3 linked regions of the Kluyveromyces lactis genome follow. The protein of the gene in region 1 purifies or fractionates together with the protein of each later gene. This does not show direct contact. Links are inferred from orthologs where the notes say so. Each region holds a gene or a part of one and is shown on either strand. Other genes may lie near its edges.

Region 1 (4,019 bases):
TGGAAAATCTACTTCCGTACCAAATACACCGACATCTAAGTTCAAGTTCCCACATCAGCTCAATCTTGGTGAAGAAAATGAACGCTATGACAAGGAAGAGAACACTGTCTCACTTTATAAGGACAAGAATGAATCACAAACTACGAATGTAAATCAAAGCACCAATCATAAACGTAGTCTCTCCAAAGGAAGAGGAATCTTTTCGCATATCACTCATGCAAATAATCAAAGATCTGAACCACAAACATCATCCTCTTCGAGCTCCAAACAGAGCTCAGGGTCTGCTTCGAGATCACAACATAGTTATAAAATGTTATTGGATCCAAGGCCAACGATTTTACCAGTAACCACTTTAGGTGGTAGAAAACCTTCTACAACCTCTTCCTCGTCCAATTCATCTACTGCATCTAGGAACGACCGTGAACCTGTCGTCCAACCATCATCTACATCACAAGGTGAACTAGTGCAGAGAAATAACTCTAACAAACGTCTCATTGCAAAACAACGAATCAATATTGCCATTGAATTAAGAAACAAAGGTGACCTGAAAGGGTCAACTGCACATCTCAAAGAAGCGTGTAAATTGGAGGACAGAACAGCTTTTTTGCTGTATGGTCTTGCCTTAAGATACGGGTCTGGTACCGAAATCGATTTACACGAATCATTTAACTGGATTAGAGGTGCAACGGGTATCAAGGATTTCAAAACCAGCGTATTACATGCAAATATAGATCCATTTGAGATACGTGAACCGCTTCCATCTCTACAGAATGACGCAGCTGCCCCCGCTCTGTACGAATGTGGTATAGCTTATATGAAGGGATACGGTGTCACTGCTCATGAATGGAAGGGTCTGAAATGTTTGGAATATGCAGCATCGTTGGGACACGTTGATTCTATGTGTTTATGCGGTACCATTTGGTCAAAGACGACTCCAAATAGGAAAAAAGATTTAAGACGAGCAGCTAAATGGTTCAGACTCGCAAAGGATCAAGGAGCAGATCTAATTGGAGCAGACTGGATCTATAAAACGGACTATCTATAGTTATCGTTCACTCACAGAGCAAGCTCCTCTCTAACAACATTTATTTCACATAGTAACATTAATTTCTAATATCATAATACTTTAATTCTTTACCGCATAAAAAGTTGTGGTTGCCACGGATTTGTACATACAGGAACATACATAAAGCAACTTCTTTTTGACTATAGAATGTCAATGTTAGCTTGGAGATGGTAGCTTCTGTTCAATGGTGCTGTCTGCTTTCAACTCACCTAGCTGTGGCCTCATAACTGAGGGTTACCCGACCTTTTAATGCGCGTTCCCGTTTCTCGAAGTAACATGTGCTGAGTTGAAATTATCACAAAGACCGATAACGCTGCCCTTACAATGAGTTTTCGAACAGCCAACCATAACAAGCTTGATAGGAGGCCGTCAATTTAGTTGAATCTAGCACAGTGTGTCTTTGAGCTCTCAAGAATACTGTTTTATTTTCAAACGTTTCACCGCTTCCAATTAACCTGCAATAATGAAGGTATGCGAATAATCGTGTTTTAATATAGTTCTGACATATTCATAATGAACAAACGGAATACTAACCTTATATTAACGGCATGTATGTATATTTTTTGCATCATGTGTTACTTAACATCTTTTAAAGTTTATCGATGAATTTGATTTAGAGGTTGTTAACCAGGCTCTTAATTTCGAGACCTCGGACTGCAGTATCACAGGTGGTTGCGACATTTTCACGACAAAGCCCGTAGCTTCAGATAAGAAGCTTTATAAGACCATAGATCGTCATTTGGAGTCCTTACTTCAAGAAAGTGAGTCGCTTACTGCTGCAGCTCACAGGAGGCAATCTTTTGACGAAAAGAACAGAACTATCGATGAAAATGTGCAAGAGCAACAGAGCCCAAACCCTAATTCATTCTGGGAACAAAAGAGAAGGATGTCTGTTAGCGAGAATTCGAGTGGGACAAATAGTTCGTCACCTATAATAAAATCTAATAAGTTGAACGACCAAAATTTGAAGGAATTCGTGCTGTCAACTGACAGTACAAATTTTGTCACGAATGGACACAACAATAGTAATAGTAGTACCACCAATGCTAACTCCAATAACGGATATTTGAGTTCATCATCAATGGAATCGGGGCCTTTAGGGATCGCTTCACAACGTCCCAGTTTCCTAAGGAGGACTAGCAGTGCTGGAAGCATTGCAAGCAACCATACCGATACTTCGAAAAGAAGACCTAGCACAAGTGGTTCAGCGAATGAAATACAAAATACTTCATACCAACAGAGGAGGAGGTCATCGGTACAAGGAAGAGACAACGTAAATATTGGACCGTTTGGACCTATCAACGAAACTGCTAGCAGGAGAGCTTTCGCGTATCTAATAGCCATTTTGAATGCGTCCTATCCGGATCACGATTTTTCGTCATTAGAGCCCACCGATTTCGTGAAATGCACCAAGAAAAGTTTCATCTCGAAGTTCGAAAATACCTTGATATCTTTAGGAAAACCACCTCAGGAATGGATCTGGGAAACGATCAACGGACATATGGATATCAACGATTGCGCTTTCTATCAATATGTCCCTCAAAAATCGTTTCTTGAAGATGAGCCTGGCCATCTTTGGTCATTGATGTGGTTTTTGTTCAATAAAAAAAGGAAAAGAGTCGCATATGTTTATCTAACAGCATGCCGTTTGAAAGGAACTCCCTCTGTTGGAAATAGTGTCATATTGGCGGATGACGAAGATGAAAATTCAAGTAAACTAGAATCAGAACGTAAACAGAGAAGGAAATTGACGTTAGATAACGACAACGATTTTGAAGGCGAATATGATTTAACTTATGAGGAGAATGCTATAATTGATGATGATGAGGGCATCAACGAAGATTTCAAGGATGAAGCCATGGATGATCTTAACTGATTATCATTACATTTTCGAACCAACTTATCGCTTTCCTGTATTTTTATTGAATTACCTTCCCCAAGTTCACGATAGCTAAAGCAGTGCATTATTTGGATGTTGTAACCTATAGTATTTCTTCTTGCTGTATCATTTTTTTCTAACTCTCTCTGTCTTTCTACCTATGTTTTATTATTAACACTATTGTTCTTATTTCAAATATAAATATAAAATCATGACAGTCCTTCTATGACGTAAACTGAACCTTTCCATACAAAATAAATACGCAACACGTAACACTTTATATGATTCAAAGTTGCTTAATTATATTTCTCCATATCTTTGAGTTTTCTTGACAGGAGTTAAAGCGCAATTGATATATCACTGTACCGAAATAACACCTTCTCCACTAATCGCAAAATTCATTTCACCTTTCACCGCATAAGTCGAAAACACTAGCTTCAGATTTCTCTGCACTTGCCAAAATTGAGAGGTATCTGTTGTATTGTTGTAATTGAATTCCCCCGTGCGTACCATAGGTGATGCTTTATATCGTTTCTCCAGTTTTATTCTTGTCATTAAATGGTTAGCCCAAGTTAAACCGAGATTTGGTACCTTCGTGTCAACTTCTCGTTTCCTTCTTGATAACAGGAAAGGTGCGGATGGTTGGGGCTGTGACGGTACCACAGGGGTTTTACTTTGAGTAGGCTGAGGTGAGTTTTGTTGAGAGATAACATTATTCCGCAGCGCTTCAGTCCTCAATGCTGCGACAGACTGCGCAGGGTCTTTATTATTTGTATCTGGAACACTAGCCGGAACATTCTGTTGTAATTTCCTTGCAACCTGGTCTACAATTAACGTATAGTCCTCATCGTCACTCAATATGGTCTCATCATATTTCTCTATTTCATTGAATTTGTGTCTATAAAAAATAGTCGAATTCTTCCATCCGATGTTCCAGCCCAGCTGATAATCATAATCCTTGAAGTCCTGTCGTATTGGCTTCTCTGGTAAAAGTTTGTCACTTACTTGATTGGCGACGACGATGGCCAAATTATGTTTTTGAGCTAAAGAAAGTAAGTTCTCTGCCATGGAATC
Region 2 (5,452 bases), on another chromosome or scaffold:
CATTTTTCACAAACATCGACTTCAAAGGCATCAGAACTTAACATTAATCTTTCCAACAATAGTTGTGAAGCACCGTATGCGATAACACAGTCACGTTCCATTTCACCCAATCTTAGACCACCATCTCTAGATCTACCTTCTGTTGGTTGACGCGTTAACACTGCCCTTGGACCTCTGGCTCTTGCGTGCATTTTGTCAAGAACCATATGCTTCAACTTTTGATAGTAGATTGGACCAAAGAAAATGTAAGCTTGTAAACATTCACCAGTAATACCAGAATAAAGCATGTCCTTACCGGAATAGTTGAAACCATTATCGACTAAAATCTTTGACATGTCTTCTAACTTAGATCCACCGAAACAGGTACCGTATTCAAGGGTACCATTCAAGACACCAGCTTTACCTGATATCAACTCAATCATTTTTCCAACGGTCATACGAGATGGGAAACCATGTGGGTTCATGATAATATCTGGTACTACACCTTGATCGTTGAAAGGAAGATCTTCTTGTTTTACGATGATACCACAGACACCCTTTTGACCATGTCTCGATGAGAATTTATCACCCAATTCAGGTCTTCTGTTTTGTCTCAATAGAACTTTGATCAAAGCCTGGTCATTATCAGAAACTGACATCATAACTTGATCAATATGAGAAGGTTCTGGAGCTCTATATACCACTGGAGTCTCCTTGTACTGAGCTTGTGTTTGAGTTAGAATGCTATCCGACGCATTAGTTGGAACAGATTTATTGACATAAATTTGTCCACTTTCAACCTTCATTCCAACTTCACCTAGCCCATCAGGGCCTAATGCTTGGTGTTGCCATATAGGCTCACCATTTTCATCAACTCTCATACCACCAATAATATCCTGAGTATGATTTGGATATCTCTTCAACACGGTGGTGTTCTTACGACGAGTTTCACAACGTCCAAAACCTCTGTCAATGGACGCTTTATTTAAAACTAACGCATCCTCGATATCATAACCGGAGTAGGACATAACTGCCACCGTAGCATTTTGACCTGCCGGAAGTTTATCGTAATCGATCAATTCAATCGTTTTGGTTTTCACCATAGGCTGTTGAGGGTATATCATTAGATACAATAAGGTGTCAATTCTTTTGAATTGATTGTATGCAATTGCACCAATAGCCTGCTTACCCATCGCACATTGATAAGTGTTACGTGGAGACTGATTATGGTGAGGATATGGAATCAAACCAGCAACTGCACCTAAGACAGTAAATGATTCAATTTCTAGATGCGTAATATTCTCAGATAGATCTTTTTCATATAATGCAATGAACGAGTCGTTTTCTTCATTAACGTCGAGATACTCGACTAAACCCAGTTTTAAGAAATCATCGAATTGTAATTTTCCAGCCAGAAGAGATCTTAAATGGTCTGCAGTAACAGAAGACTGCCCGTTCGAAACAATTATCAACGGCCTACAGATTCTTCCTCCATCAGTAGCAATATGAACTGCTTTTTGATGTGTATTGGTATATATAGAGATGAACTCTGACGCTCTACCAGTTCTTCTTAAACATCTGAATTGAGACACAAACTTTGTAGGAAATCTAGTTGTCCCTATGATTGTACCGTTTAAGTAGACACCATAATTTAAATGAATTGAAGCACTGTCAATTAAACTTATGTCTTCCACACCCAACAAGTAACAAATCCTCTTTATAGGCTCTTCTTCATCATCGGTGGTGATATGGGTCATTAATGCCAAATTTTTAACCAAACCACAGGCCTCACCTTCTGGAGTATCTGAGGTACATAACATACCAAATTGAGAAGGTTGTAGGGCTCTAGGACCTGAAACTTTTCTAGATTTCTCAAATTGAGAGGATATTCTTGTCATCATACCTAATGCTGAAATATAAGAAAGTCTGGATAAGACATGTGTAACACCTGCTCTTTCCATCTTGAAACGTTTCAAAGACCAGTTACCAGTTGAAATTGCACGATTCATACCTGTAGTAATGTTGTTGGAATGTACGTTAATGGTTAGTAAGGCATCATACATTTCAGCACGATTTGGTTTCTTTAAGACTTTATCGATGTTTGCCTTGAAATCATTATTGAACTTTTTGAATAAATCTTCAAATAACAATGACATCAATTGACCAGCCAATTCTAAACGCTTGTTACCAACATAATCTCTGTCATCAACCATCTTTGGGTTATCTATAGCCATTACGACTCTACGAGTCATCATTGCAATGTATAATGCTTTTTCTCTAAAGTCTAAAGCTTCCACTGTCAGATGAGCAATGACTGTCGTAGCGATGGCCTCGATACCTTCTTGCAAGATGGAAAGTTTCTGTCTTCTGACAGTTTTAACTTTAGTACCAATGAATTCTAAGGCTTGTTGTTGCGTGTATATTTTTAGTTCGGCAGCTTCTTCGAGATTCACCGCGAAGATATCTTGATAACTGCTATCATTACCACAAACTAACTGCATGATTTCTAAATCAGATACAACACCACAAGCCTTCAAAACAACTACAATTGGAACCTCTTCTGCGATAGAGTTATGTTTTAAGTATATTTTATCATTCTTGGTGACTACGTAAGTCTTAGATTTTCTTTCGTGGGTGGAAGATGTAACAGAAGCTTGTACGATGTTTTTCTTCTCATCTGCTTCCACAATGATACGATTCTTAGATAATTGTTCTTGAACTAAGATGACTTTTTCAGTACCATTAACAATGAAATATCCACCTGGATCTAAGGGACATTCATTTAATTTGGCCATATCATTTTCTGCTGCACCATCTAATATACATTTGTTTGATCTCAACATTATGGGCATTCTACCGATCTCCACATCTCTATGCAACACAATTGATCTTCCTCTGGTGTATTCAATATCAACAAAGATAGGAGTACTGTATGTCATGTCTCGTAATCTACATTCATGTGGTGGGGTCATAATAGCTTTGTTGCCGTTATGTTTGTATCCTACTCTAATGTCAATGTACTTCAAGTAAAACTCTGGATCGACATCAGATAATATAACCTCATTAGCTTTGATGATCTTCTTCAAATCAACATCCACAAAGTAATTAAAAGAGTCCAAATGCTGCTTTACTAACCCTTTCACCTTTAAAAAGGCAGGCAAAAGATTCCATTTATCTTCGGCAGTGTTGATCTCGTCAGTCAGCTTTTTACCTTTGAAGACGGGTTTCAAAAGAGCATCGAACGCTTCATCTTTTTCATAGCCATCAGGATTATGGGAGTCAGTGTGGTTCATTTTAGAGAATATTCAATCAGGATATTTGAAAGCTACCCTTTCCAAACTTAATTAGTGTTCCAAACAGTTAATCAAACAAAATATCTAGAAAAGAGGCAAAAAGACCAAACAAAGCTACTCTACTGAAAGTGAAAAAAGAAGGAGCCAACCAGTAAATTTCACTTAATCAAATCTTTGTTGAGGTCAGCAAATCAGTACAGTCACTAACTGCCAATAAATGCACTTCTCTTTGTTTCCATCAATATTGACAGAGCTCATCTACATTAATCATTGGCGTATTTCGATTATTTCAAATTCGAGATGAGCTTGATTTGATCTTTTTCATTTTCCAAAATTGATCTGACAGAGTGAAAAGAAATTTCTTCTGTCATCAACAAATTTTCAGTCACGTGCAAGATACATTTCTTCGTGTTACATGATATATATACACGTGACATATATTTTACTTTCAATATGCGAATGTCTGGATTTGACATGGTATCAACCTTAAGTACTATTGATTCAGATGAGCTTTTCCAAATCGGATATCATGGATGCATTGCATCGTTCGAATGCAGCAAATCGTATTAGGCTGAAATAACATTATCGATTGACGTGACCAAATTGTTGATCTCCTCACTTGGTTCTAATCTCTTGCTATTTCAAGAGGCCTTGAGCTGCATATTTTCAATACTATGAGTCTGAATCTTTTCAAGACCACCGTTAATGACTACCTAGAAGGTCTTCCAGAGCAAGTCCAATCAAGATTATATGAGTCTCCAGCGACATGTTTGGCAATTTATAGATTGCTTTCTCCCATGGCAAAATTCTTCATTATGTCGATGCTGTTTCAGGACCACGATGTCTCGCTTAGAGATTTAGATAAATGGGTCAAGCCAGATGCGAAATACCAGTTACAATACTCTATTAAATCGATGAAATCCTTGAATCTTATAATAGAAGGTGAGAGTAAACAACCTCTATTGATTCGTTTGAATCCAATTTTCAAGAAATCTTTCAAAAATGTATTAACTGGTGGTGAAATCAATAACTCTTTTGGTGATGTTGCGGATGATGATACCAATCCCGTATCTACAGCTACTTTGGACCAGTATAGTGCAGAAAAGTGGGAAACAATCTTGCATTACATGGTGGGAACACCGAATACAAACACTCCTGGTGGAAAGGTTCTAGACTTATTGCAGCATAGTGGTCTAATGGAAGAGGCAGAATATGGCGAACTCAAAATTACTAACCAAGGTTTCCAATTTCTCTTGCAAGATGTCAATGCACAGATGTGGACTCTTCTTCTTCAATATTTGAAGATGGCAGAAAGTTTACAGATGGATCCCGTGGATGTTCTAAATTTCATTTTCATGCTAGGTGCATTACAGCTAGGGAAGGCGTATAAGTGCGATCAACTAAGTAATACGCAGAGAACAATGTTACAGGATATGAGAGATTACGGATTAATCTATCAAAATCAATCGGATTATGCAAAGTTTTATCCTACCAGATTAGCCACGTTGTTGACGTCCGACACAAAAGCATTCAGAAGTGCCTCAGTCGCTCTAGACAGCGTGTTAAATAAAGCTAATGAAACAACAGCTGTAGAAGGAGACAGTGGACAAGATGAAACTACAGAGCGAACTCAAGACGGTGCCTTGATTATAGAGACTAACTTCAAACTATATTCATATTCTAACTCCCCATTGCAAATTGCTATTCTATCGCTATTTGTCCATCTAAAATCAAGATTTGCGAATATGGTGACTGGACAGCTTACGAGAGAATCTGTAAGAAATGCTTTATTGAATGGTATTACTGCAGAACAAATTATAGCATACCTTGAAACTCATGCTCACCCGAGAATGAGGCGATTGGCAGAAGAGAATTTGAGTAAAAAATTAGAGTTAGACCCCACCGTGAAGGAGACCCTTCAGGTTTTACCTCCAACCGTTGTTGACCAAATACGATTGTGGCAACTTGAGTTGGATAGAATCATAAGTTACGATGGATATCTATACACAGATTTCGAGTCCTACCAAGAATACCAAACTGTAGCAGATTATGCAAAGGATATTGGTGTACTACTCTGGCAAAACGAGAAGAAGAAGATGTTCTTTGTGTCAACTGAAGGCAATTCACAGGTGCTAGACTTCCACAGAAGAAATTTTGATAAGTAGCTTATTGCATCCCAC
Region 3 (4,307 bases), on another chromosome or scaffold:
TGATACGGCTTGCGCTTCAATCACTTTTAAATGCACCATACCCAACCGATACTCGACTCCTGGCATTCATGAACTACTACAGGGCCCAAGCGACCGACGGAACTGATCCGAACGTTGCACTCAGGAAGGCTTTCAAGAGAATTGAATTGGTCTTAATACACACCACATTACTGCTCAACTTCTTTGTCATTTTCGCAGGAATCATATGGCCAATAGACTTCGAGAAGAATTTGGAGCACTTCAAAATGCCTGGGATATCACATCTAGAAAACTACCCATCGCCGTTTAACCATGGAACAGGCATAATAGAGGGGGAATTGAGAAGGCACTGGGTTCACCCAGTATATTGGAGAACGAGTGCCCTCGAGTAATTTTAAGGGTAACGCATCGTACCTTTTCTACCAACTGCTAATTCTATTCTTTCAAGTAGGGCTATTCCTCGTAACTGTACTATCCATCTCACCATTCAAAGATCACGAAGTCGCGGACGAAACCTATACACAGAAAGCCCAGAGTGATCTGAGTGACGGATATAATGGTAACGTCTTGATACTCGAAGTGGATCCAAAAGCCATGATCGAAAATCTTATAACCAAAGCACGGCCAATGGCGCAGGATCAGGAGACGTTTGAACCGACAAATGTAGATGCGATGGTGTAACACAGTTGAATCTAAAAACAAATGTACATTAAACTAGTTTAGATGTAGTGGCTTCTTTATATATGAATATATATAAGTGCCTAATCTGTTCACTGAGTGGCTTAATGCGTATGATACAGGGAATGAAAGAAATGGAATTATGATGCACGGTTTGTCTGTGTATGGAAGGGAGTGGATGATATTAAATAGAGAACATGCGAATTGGCTTCTTATTGTGAGATTGGACAGTTCTTCAAGTATTCCGCCTTGTTCTTCAAGATCCTGACCGATTTGAAGAAGATTTCTTCCGGTGTCATAGCACCAGAACTCTCCACGTTAAAGATGAAGTGGTCTCTCACCCTACCCAACTTAACCTTCCCCTGGAACTCATCGTGTCTCAACACCTCTCTGGACACGGTATCCTTCCTTGGATCCTTGATATAAGCTTCACCCTTCTCGTTGACATCTGCGACACCTTTAGGGAAACATTTCACAAATTTCTTGGCATCATCACCGGTGATAGGCTGTGTGATCTGGATGTGTGGTAATAGTCTATAACTAGCTGTCGACACCGGAGAGAACTTGGCATGGTCTGCACCGATACCTAGAATACAATGTGCCCTTAACGAAATCTCTTGACCTGGTCTCAACTTGGCCAACAAGATATCTGGATCCGCTGCCACCACGGGACACTTGGCAAATTGTTCCACCTGTTTCCCCTGAGGCTCAAACTTAAGGTCCCTAGCATAGATATGCGCGTTTCTATAAAGAACCTTGGGGTCTTCACAATCCTTTGGAGCATCTGGGTTCCTGGTACATTTCACGTTCAACGACATCACTATCGTATTTTCATCTGTAAACCTTTCAGATTCGGGCAATGACGTGTCCACCCAACTCAACATATCTGGATCCACCTTCAATGGCACTAACCCGATTCTATGCGCCAACACTTCGTCCTGTAGCACAGACGTATTGTTAAAAAAGTAGACGTATTCTGGAGCGACAGATGGTACTTCTGAGATCATAATACGACGGAAAGCGTTAGCAATCGATGTGTCGACATGAACCAAATCGAAATTCACTTCACGCTCATCCAAACTCTCGATTTGTACGTCAAAAGTTTCCTTGAACTTCTCCAAGTCCCATGAATTGTCTTGATCCGAACTAAATCCAGGGAAATCTGTTGAACTTGTGTTCGTCACACGGTTATATTCAACACCAACGATATTGGACATCCTTTTTCAATTGTATTGCTACGTTTATGCTACCTCTTGAGCTCTCAAACGACCTCAGAAAAGCCCTATGACACTGGTCAAGGTCCGTCTCATCGGTGTAGATACCTCATCTCAAGCTCATCTCATCGCTTTAAAGAACTGAAAAATTTTTGGAAAAGAAAAGATCACATCGTATAGAGTGATTATATATGATTAAAGATTGGTAGAAATGCGATGAGATAGCTACTCGAGAGCAGGTACTAGTCGATTACTGCTCTTTTGACCATCCTCAGTTAGTTCAGTATGTGGTATTTTACAGTTGGATTGTAACTGGATAACCATATTCCCCTGTCTTACTCTTTCACAAGGTGATAATGGACCTTTTAGATGACGAAGATTATGGAAGTGTCAGCGATGAGGAAAGCTTGGATGATGGGTTAAGTGGTGTAACCAGTGGTATAACCAGTGGTATAGCCACAGAATCGGATATTTTACCCTCTCCTAGTGTTAGCAACCTAATATCTGACTTTCACGCGCAATTCTGGCACCAAGGCGCGGATTTAGATGACCTCATCCAACTTGCCAAGCACGAAACTATAATACGAGATGCAACAAACCATACGACAGAGCCTTACAATGTCATAAAACTGGGCCAATTGATGCCTTTATTCGATACAGAGCTTTCCATGGTGTTTCAATGCATTGTAGATACCTACAAGGCCAAGTTCCCTGGGTTGGAAACTATTGTCCCTGAAAGGAAACAATACGTCGACGTGGTCAAGATGCTGCAACAGGATATTCCCAACGTGCAATTAGACCAAGTGCTATCGAAGGAGGAAACCCTTGTGGTATCTATGTCTCTAAAGACAGATTTCAAAGAGGGTGCTCGAATTGATAAGGATCTCCTCTCCAAGGCCATCCATTGGTTCGATATTCTGTACAACTTACGGGACAACGTCTCACACTATGTTGAGACAAGAATACAAATGGTAGCTCCAAACTTATGTGCTTTATTGGGACCTGATACTGCAGCTAAACTGGTAACACATTGTGGTAGTGTTAAAGAACTAAGTGTGGTTCCCAGTTGTAATTTGGCATCCATTGGCCAGGACAAAACGTTGCATGGCAAATCGTTAGATATCTCTGGGGTACGACAAAAGGGATATCTATTCTATACAGACGTGGTACAAACACAGCCTCCTGAGTTCCAGAAACAGGCGCTTAGAATGGTCTCTGCCAAGGTTGCTCTTGCTGCGAGAGCGGATTGCACCATGGGGAATCAAGTCATTAACCCAGATGGGAATTCAGATGGGAACTCAGATGCCTCGAAGCTGGGCTTGAAATGGAGGCATGAAATCGTTGAAAAACTCAAGAAGATAATAGATCCGCCGAATATCAGTAACATCAAGCCGTTGCCGATCCCAGAAGACGCTCCAAAGAAGAAAAGAGCTGGTAGAAGGTTCCGTAAGTACAAAGAACAGTTCAAGATGTCGCATCTAAGGCAAATGCAAAACAGAATGGAGTTCGGTAAAGAGGAACAGACCACCATGGACCCATACGGAGAAGAAATAGGGTTCGGGATGGCCGATTCAAAGAACGTTTCCGCATTGTCCTCTTTCAATAAGACCAAAATGCGTAAATCTATGCGTTTAAGATTAGATCAAGAGACTAAAAACACGCACAGTTTCCTACAGGATGAGAGGTCCGAAAAGCTCAAACGTAGTGCAGAGCACCCACAAGCTACGGACCCCGCCACCAGCAAACAACCACGGTTGTGAGACACCATAGTTCTGCCGTGTACCTTTTATACCCTGTATATGTCTATTCATAGATCTGTAATTACGATTCCTATTATGGCAAAACCAAAACACAAAAAGATGATCCAATGTTCGAATTGAAAACTTTAAACAAAGAACACAACTTAACCATTGAACTTTAGGGTCTCTTATTCGATCAGATCTGCCGATAATTCATTGTGTCAAGTCAGAAGTAACGTGTCTGACCTGAAGCACTAACGGTTTTATTTACATACTTCAATCACACAGTTTAAAATAAGAAATGTTTACAAGAGATGCGAATGGTCGTCACAAGGAGGTCGACGCATTGGTCGACGATATGGTCAATTTCAGTTTTGATACGGATGCTAAAGTTATGCTAGATCCCCCAAGCACTCCAACGAGAATACGTGGTTCTCCGTCTCCTACTAGATCGATAGTAAAAAACCCTGAAAACTCGCTCATGGATATCGACGATGATACTCAGGGAGATTTGACGGCAGACATTACCAAGTCGCCAAAGAAACTACCCAAAGATTTCTATAAGAAGTCCTCAAAGACTAAATCCAAGAGATTGGTTTCCGTGTGTCAGATGTATTTCTTGGATTATTATTGTGATATGTTCGACTATGTGATTAGCAGAAGAGAACGTACCAGACAAGTGATCAACTATTTGGAA

The links.
Region 2: the proteins of MAF1 (region 1) and RET1 purify together in Saccharomyces cerevisiae (affinity purification with mass spectrometry; 4 studies listed by BioGRID). This does not show direct contact. The link is inferred for Kluyveromyces lactis from reciprocal best matches to the Saccharomyces cerevisiae genes MAF1 and RET1.
Region 3: the proteins of MAF1 (region 1) and RPC40 purify together in Saccharomyces cerevisiae (affinity purification with western blotting; 4 studies listed by BioGRID, with this or other methods). This does not show direct contact. The link is inferred for Kluyveromyces lactis from reciprocal best matches to the Saccharomyces cerevisiae genes MAF1 and RPC40.

The regions. Positions count from the first base shown.
Region 1 is NC_006041.1:1,556,603-1,560,621, reverse strand, and holds MAF1 (RNA polymerase III-inhibiting protein MAF1), read left to right. Parts: upstream 1-1,952; coding exon 1,953-2,942; downstream 2,943-4,019. Other genes in the region: DSF2 (Dsf2p), read left to right, coding at 1-1,045; putative DNA-dependent ATPase RAD57, read right to left, coding at 3,303-4,019. UniProt on the Saccharomyces cerevisiae protein: Mediator of diverse signals that repress RNA polymerase III transcription. Inhibits the de novo assembly of TFIIIB onto DNA.
Region 2 is NC_006042.1:96,151-101,602, reverse strand, and holds the start of RET1 (DNA-directed RNA polymerase III core subunit RET1), read right to left. Parts: upstream 3,273-5,452; coding exon 1-3,272. Other genes in the region: TFIIH/NER complex subunit TFB2, read left to right, coding at 3,947-5,437. UniProt on the Saccharomyces cerevisiae protein: DNA-dependent RNA polymerase catalyzes the transcription of DNA into RNA using the four ribonucleoside triphosphates as substrates. Second largest core component of RNA polymerase III which synthesizes small RNAs, such as 5S rRNA and tRNAs.
Region 3 is NC_006040.1:1,252,154-1,256,460, forward strand, and holds RPC40 (DNA-directed RNA polymerase core subunit RPC40), read right to left. Parts: upstream 1,875-4,307; coding exon 870-1,874; downstream 1-869. Other genes in the region: GLD1 (Gld1p), read left to right, coding at 1-371; U4/U6-U5 snRNP complex subunit PRP31, read left to right, coding at 2,228-3,631; KLLA0_D14905g (serine/threonine-protein kinase), read left to right, coding at 3,912-4,307. UniProt on the Saccharomyces cerevisiae protein: DNA-dependent RNA polymerases catalyze the transcription of DNA into RNA using the four ribonucleoside triphosphates as substrates.